2 linked regions of the Macaca fascicularis genome follow. The protein of the gene in region 1 purifies or fractionates together with the protein of each later gene. This does not show direct contact. Links are inferred from orthologs where the notes say so. Each region holds a gene or a part of one and is shown in the gene's direction. Other genes may lie near its edges.

What was found.
Region 2: the proteins of MAK (region 1) and KATNIP purify together in Homo sapiens (affinity purification with mass spectrometry; 3 studies listed by BioGRID and IntAct, with this or other methods). This does not show direct contact. The link is inferred for Macaca fascicularis from reciprocal best matches to the Homo sapiens genes MAK and KATNIP.

What each region holds. Positions count from the first base shown.
Region 1 is NC_088378.1:162,157,569-162,161,385, forward strand, and holds part of MAK (serine/threonine-protein kinase MAK), read left to right. Parts: intron 1-2,487; coding exon 2,488-2,660; intron 2,661-3,817. UniProt on the Homo sapiens protein: Essential for the regulation of ciliary length and required for the long-term survival of photoreceptors. Phosphorylates FZR1 in a cell cycle-dependent manner. Plays a role in the transcriptional coactivation of AR.
Region 2 is NC_088394.1:26,855,470-26,859,141, forward strand, and holds part of KATNIP (katanin-interacting protein), read left to right. Parts: intron 1-1,032; coding exon 1,033-1,172; intron 1,173-3,025; coding exon 3,026-3,127; intron 3,128-3,672. UniProt on the Homo sapiens protein: May influence the stability of microtubules (MT), possibly through interaction with the MT-severing katanin complex.

The sequences.
Region 1 (3,817 bases):
CAGCACCCGGACCAGTGCCCGCCACATGGTAGATTCTCAGTAAATATTTGTTCAGTGAATGAAGGATTGAATAATTGCCCACATGACTTGCACACCACCTCTGGGGTCCCAAGGAGTCCCCTTTATCTTTGGAACAATTCTGAATATTAGAAAGTTCTTCCTTATACTGGGTAAAATCTGGTTTTCTAGCTTTTAATGAAGGCTAATCACTTTTCTAGAAAGGCAGCCTTTTAGATATTTGAAAATAGCCCTTATATTATCTGCCCTTTTCTCTAGAGAAACATCTCCATTTCCCTTAAGGGCTCTGCATATAACGCCATTCACCAATGACTGATAACTCTCAGTTCCTATTATGAATATGCCTTTAAGTCCCCTCTCATCCTGCTTCCCACTTAGAATGAGGCTGCCAGAACTGGAGGCAGACAGCAGGCAGGGAATATAGAGCAGAACGAATCACCTCCAACACTCTAAACCATGTGTGCACTCGTGCCACCAATGATTACAGTCCTCCCCACAACCGCTTAGAAGATGCCTCAATTGCTGACTCATACTGTGAGGGAAGGAAAGGAAGTTACTATTTATTGAGTAGCTACTAAGTGCCATGCATATGCTAGGGACCCTGTGTGTATTCTCTAAGTTAAAGAGAATAACCTAGCCCCCCACCCCGCCACACATACACACATTTTTATATAGGTAAGTTCCAATACTTAATCCAGGGATTAAGTATTGTGTCAACTAAAATTTCTAAGTATACCAATTTTTTCATAAATGCTTCTCCTAAATTGCATATTCTGTACCTCTGACTTGTGTATTTCATCTCTAGGATTCAAAAAGTTGCAAGACCTTTTACATCTCCAATTTCTAATTATTTTTGAATCTTTATTTTTTCTTCTCGGTTTACCCATTCTGCCCAGCTTCTTGCCAGCTATGTATTTGTTTAGTTATCTGTTTTCCTCCTGAATCTTCATGATGAATAGGATGACCGTGAGATCTTGGGCAGGCCACTACAACCTTCTCCTAGACTGACATTGATCCATTCATCAGTACTCTTGGTCAAGTTCTTCAACTATGTGCTGATCGCCTTTGCTGCCTTCACCCAATGGGCTAAAGTTCACATACACTACATTGAATGAATTCATTGTTTGCCGTTCATGAAAAAGTGTGGTCTATATGAGCTATCACTGTTTTTCCTTAGTGCTCACAAACATCCCCTTTAATAATTGATTTTAGAACCTTTGCCCTCATCCTCTACCAAACTTACTGAGGTGGAGTTTGCAAAAATAAATCTTCTACTTTATTAAGAGTATTATATTTGCCACTTTCCAGTCTTCTCAGACACACAGGATTCTTGGATATCACTGACATTGTTCAGCAGCGTTCAGCATAGGCACCCTAAAATACAATTCAACAGAAGGGAAGCTCAAACTCAGCTCAGGGTAACCTTTTATTAACCCTACTCATCTGGAGCTTAACACTTTTTTATTCTCTTTATTCTGGAGATTGTTCTGCCTGGCAGAGAAAATAATAGTGTAGAAGCTGGCAAATACTGCTTTTTGTTATCATCCATCACTATCACTGTGACACCATCAGCTTCAAGCAATAGCATGTCCGTTCTTTAAGCATCTCCCTGCACCCAACATAGCTGTATTTTCTGAAAATTTTCCATGCTCTATTCCCTAGTTTTGAGTTGCCTTTTGGATTTTTCTGTTTATGTGCCCTGAAACCACTCTGTAAATTTGTGTAAAACCAATTCATTGTGTGCTCCAAGCCAGGACTTCTTTCCTGTTCCTTATTTCTGTTAACAATGCCTCCATTCTGTGGCAGTCAGACTCATACTTCCCTCTCTGTTTCCGTTAGGATTACATTCAGGGACTTATGACAAAAACTCGACCACTGTGGCTTAAACAATAGGGGTTGTTTTTCTCACATAACAAGAAATTGGGTGGTGGAGCTCATGTAGCTTGCAGAGGAGGCAGGCTGCTGCTGGCTTCCCGCTCCACCACCCTGAGCAGGTGGCTGTCATGCCTGTGGCCACAGGATGACTGGTGTGTCTTTGGATGTCATGTATATTCAAGGAGGGGGAAAAGTAAAAGATGCTGGCACATGCCAGCCTTAGTGTCCTTCTCATTAAGGCTGTCCCCAATTAAGGAGGACACTAAGGCTTTGAGAAGTTAAGTCCCTTGCCCAAAGAGACATAGCCAAGTCTCGGGTTTCCAGATCCTTCGTGTCAATGAAGAGTCAACTCAGATCCAAAATATTCAAGTCTCCCACCGACCTAGTTCACAGAGATCTTTCCTCTGAACACCTGTCATATTTTTGGCATGTACCGCCCATTTTTGTTCATGCTTTTAAATGTGTATATATGTTATGCCCTTAAGTGTATGGAACGCTCCTTGAGAATGGGGACTGTTAGTGTCTTACGTAGTAGCTTGTGCATGAAAGGCATTCAGTACATGATTAAAGATTATGACTGATTTTCCACCACAGAAGCCAAATGGCACACTGAGTCATAAAAGTGGTAGGAGGCGTTGGGGTCAGACTGTCTTCAAGTCTGGAGACAGCTGGGAAGAGTTGGAGGACTATGATTTCGGAGCCTCCCATTCCAAGAAGCCAAGCATGGGTGTTTTTAAAGACAAAAGGAAAAAAGATTCTCCATTTCGGTAAGATTTCAAATTCCTCAGAAAACTATTTTTGCCATGCATTCACTTTATTTTACTCATTAAATATAAATGCATGTAGACCTTAAAAGAAGAAAAGTTTGCTTAATAGGCCGGGCGCAGTGGCTCAGGCCTGTAATCCCAACACTTTGGGAGGCGGAGGCGGGTTGACCACTTGAGGCCAGGAGTTTGAAACTAGCCTGGCCAACATGGTGAAACCCCGTCTCTACTAAAAATACAAAAATTAGCCGGGCATGGTGACGTGCACCTGTAATCCCAGCTACTCGGGAAGCTGAGACATGAGAATTTCTTGAACCTGGGAGGCGGATGTTGCAGTGAGCCAAGATCGCGCCATTGCGATCCAGCCTGGGTAACAAAGTGAGACTCCATTTCAAAAAAGAAAAAAAGTTTGCTTAATATGTTGGTTCCTTCCACAAAATGCAAATCTTTCCACATACCTCTGAAAAGGTAAGAATCTTCTCACAGTAACAATTCTCAGTATTAACAGATGAGTGGGCGTGGGGGGTGTGTAGAGAGAGTGTGTCAGTCCGTTTTTGCATTGCTATAAAGAATGTGTTGGCCCAGGGTTCTGCAGGTTGTACAGGAAGCATAGTGCCAGCATCTGCTTCTGGCGAGGGCTTCTGGAAACTTAGAATCATGGCGGAAGGTGGAAGAGGATCCAGCCTGTCACAGGGCAAGAGAGGGAGCAAGAGAGAGAGGGAGGAGGTCGCAGACTCTTTTAAACGATCAAGTCTCGCGGGAACTCAGAGTGAGAACTCACTCATTACCGCAAGGATGGTACCAAGCCATTCATGAGGGATCTGCTCCCATGATCCAGACACCTCCCACCAGGCCCCACCTCCAAAACTGGGGATTACATTTCAACATGAGATTTAGAGAGGACAGATGTCCAAAACATATCAGAGGGGATCTTGTTCCATTTTCACGATGCTCTTGTGAATGACCATCATTATTCCCCTTTGAAATTGACATGCCTCGTTGCAGAAAGCAGAGCACCACATGCCAAGTTAACGGCTGCTTCTGATGGTGTGAAGATTTCATTATCTGCTTGCTTGCTGTTCTAAACTTTTTTCAATCATTTCCTGAGTCTTTTCTGGAAGTTTAATATCTCTAGCAGTTCCTTTTCTTTTTATAAGTGA
Region 2 (3,672 bases), on another chromosome or scaffold:
CACAAGAATCTTGTGAGGTGATTGCTGCTGTTATCCCCATTTTACAGATGAGGAGCCTGAGACACAGAGAAGTTGAGTAACTTGCCTAATGTCACACAGCCAGTGAGTCTGTGTCCAGACACTGGCTCTTGGCCAAGCACTAAGCTATCCTGCCTCTTTTATGTAACCTGCCTGGCCCCCTCGGATCTTGAATCTGTGATCGCTGGCCCACCACAGTTAGGGAAATACCAGGGCAGGTCGAACCCTAAAGCCTGCCTTGCATCTGTTTGGGGTCCCTGGCTTCCAGTCGGATCCCTTTCTGCCTTCCCCGGGTGCCACCACCCTCCTCAGCTGGGATGAATCATTGTTGATTTTTTTTAATCATTATTAGTGACTTCTCGAAGCTATAAAGTTTCATTGATTTTACCAAAGGGCTCTCATCTGGTGCACTCTGAGATCCTCACATCCATTCTGGGAGCTGGAGGTTTTTATAGCCATTTTACAGATGGGAACACAGGTCCAGGGTTGACATGTGACTTGCCCAAGCTCTCATAGGTCATAATGGCAGAGGCAGAGCTAGAAGCTGGGTTCTGCAGATCATATTAGCTGGGTCCAGCTGCCCCGGGTCCTTCCACACTGGCCAGGAAGAGAGGCTCGGCATGATCCTTACATGCCAGGGCAGAATCCAGCCACCACCCCATTCCCTTCCAAAAGAAAACCTCCGCAGAGCTTGCCCTCCACCCTCCCAAGCAGCAGCAGCGTTTTACGTCCCCAGCTCCAGCCGCTCCCTGCAAGGCCTCTTTTTCAGCCTTCTAGGTGGTTTCCTTCTCTCTCTACTTGAAACTGTCCACCTCTCCACACACACCTGCTCCCCTTGGGCCTGGCACTCCCCATTTCCCCAGCACATGTCCAGTTCAGCTGTCACTGCTGCGGCTGCCCAGAGCATCAGCCCTGCCAGCCCCAGAGTCCCTCGAGCCACGCTGTCAGCCTGAGGGCAGCTGGCAGCCCCCGAACACACAGATTTGGGTTATGGCAACTTAGACGCCTCCTCAGATATTGCGGCCTTCCCTGACAGCGTGAACTCCCTGGAGGGCGTAGGTGGGGACGTCCGCACCCCGGACAAGCTCATCGACCAAGTGAACGACACCAGTGATGGCCGGCACATGTGGCTGGCTCCCATCCTGCCAGGCCTGGTGGGTTCCCAGCAGCGGCCACCGCAACTCCTGGCCCTCAGGCGGCCAGGGGGACTTTCTTTCCCTGGTCTCAGTGACGCATCTTTCTTCCAGGTCAAGTTAATCTCAAGCCAAGATGCTTGGGAGCTGTCAGAAAGGTTTAGGTCTTTGCTACCTTGCCTGATGGGGCCAGCTCTTCCAGGCCAGCAATTCTGTCTCTTTTATAAGGGGACACCAGGGGTGAAAGGGGCCCCATGGGAATCTGAAGCCAGGAACCCCAGCACAGCTGCCTGAGGGCTTGGTCTTCCTTGGTCCCTGCAGGCAGCCCTCTCTGGTTCTCTGCTCTGCCTGGCTTTGCAGCCGCTGTGCCCTCTTCCTCCCCACCCAGCTCTCTGCACGCTCACAGTTTCTGCCTCTTCCTACATCACCGGGTAGATGACCCCAACACGGCCGCCCTGCCCTCCTTCTGGCCCCAAATTGGCCTGGTCAGCTTTTCCGGCCAACTGACTCAGTTTCCCAGATCTCAAACCTTGCACTGAGTCCTGCTTAGCTTTTAGCTCTGAGGCCTCATGGTGAGCTGATGTGGTTGGTTGTGGTGGAGAGGAAGGGGAGAAGCCACAGGGCATGGACGGGGTGGTCAGCCCCCCTCCAGCCTCTCAGCCCGGGGCCAGATGCCTGGTAGGGATGCACAGCGGGTTCTTGACAGCCATATGACCAAGGATGTGTCCCTTGTCCATGCCATGGGACTGAATGGGGGATCGGGGGCACCTTTTTCTCTCAAAATGCAGGAAGGTACAGCGTCAGCAATTCTATGATGGAAGTTTTCCAAAGGCCACCCTAAAATTAGACCCCCCCTATTGAGCGTCCATCAGCTTCCCCTGCCCCATTGGAGAGGGGGCAACACAGCTCTGTCCTCCCTGAGACCCGGGCCACCCACTGGCGGCCAGTGTGTATTTTCCATTGTCTAGCACTGGAAGGCCTTTTGGGGTGAGGCAACTTCAGCTGTTGCTCTCGAGGCTGGACTCCAACATCTGTATCTGCTTGAGCCTCACAGGCAACTGACTTTGAGGACCCTCGCCCTGACCTTTATTTGTTTCCATGGTCCAGCCAGGAGGCTGGCCCTCCCCGAGCAGCCCCACTCCCTCTTGGGACATTCTGAGGATGGTCACAGGCTGGGGACCGAGGCCCGGGGCGGGACTGAGCCTGCAGCCTGTAGCCAGTGTGGAATGCTTATTTCTTGATTCTATCTTGCAAGGGAGGGTCCCCCCGCTAATATCTGAGAGCCTTGGTTGGGGGTGGGGAGAGGGAGAGCTGTTCGAGGCTGCCCCGTCCCACTTTCCCCACTGGATTCTGCCCCAATCTAGACAGCCCTCCTTACTCCCCCAGCAGAGGTTCACAGACACGCACTGGACATTGCCCAGCAGCACCTTGGCATTGCTTCTCAGCGATGGTTTGGGGAAAGGACAGACAGGGTCAGAAGCTGATCACCATGGCTGGTGCTCAACCCGAGCTGGAGACTGTCCCTTTAGCTCACGGGGCTCTACACTATTTCTGGGCCTGACCTGAGGGGACATAGGGGATGGCCAAGGATGTTCCCAATTCTCCACTGGCATTTAAATGAGGGCCCCGCCAGGCCCAAGCACACAGGCCCTCCAAGAGCCAGCTCAGCGGTTTGTTGCAAACGCAGCCACACGTGACCTGACTCAAGATGGGCTTCGAGGAGATGAAAGGGGGCGGAACTCCAGGCTGGCCCACGTGGCAGGCGCTGCCTTGGGCACCACTGCTCACCCCCAGCCCACGCCTGGCGCCCCCAGCCCAGCCAAGTGCCTCTGTTTCCAAACATGCCTGTTTTAATTAGTTCTGCTCTCTGACAGGTGAACCGGGTTTATGTGATTTTCGATCTGCCTACCACCGTGTCAATGATCAAACTGTGGAATTATGCGAAAACACCCCATCGAGGGGTGAAGGAGTTTGGCGTAAGTACTTATTAGCTGAGTTTTTTGAGATAATTATGTTCGTTGGTAATTAGGCCGCCGGCAATTATCATTTGTCGCAGTTTGATTTACTTCTCTCTGTTGCAACCCTCAACACAAATGCCTGGTCCTCAGATGCAGGCAAATTTACCACCCAACCATGAATTCAGAACCTCCTGGCAGTGATTTCAGTGTCACCCTGAACAAATAGAAAGTGGGTTCTCTTTCATCTTTTTCTCTAGAATCCCACTGGTTTGGGGCAGTGACCCTGGGATGGGGAGAACAGGGACCCTGGAGACCAGAGACCTGTTTCCTTCCAGCTCTGCTGCTTGTGCTAATGGTATTAAAGCCCCTCAGGCCTCAATTTCCTCATCTGCAATGTGGGCTGATGGCTCCTGTCTTTCCCAACGGCTGTGAAGATCTGAAATCACAAGGCAGGCACAGCACATAGCAGGCACTTGTTCCTGGCAGCCCCGTCTTCCCAAGGAGAAAGGCTCAGAGCAGTAATGCGCTTTGCCCAAGGTCAACGTGGGAGGGAGGAGGGGCAC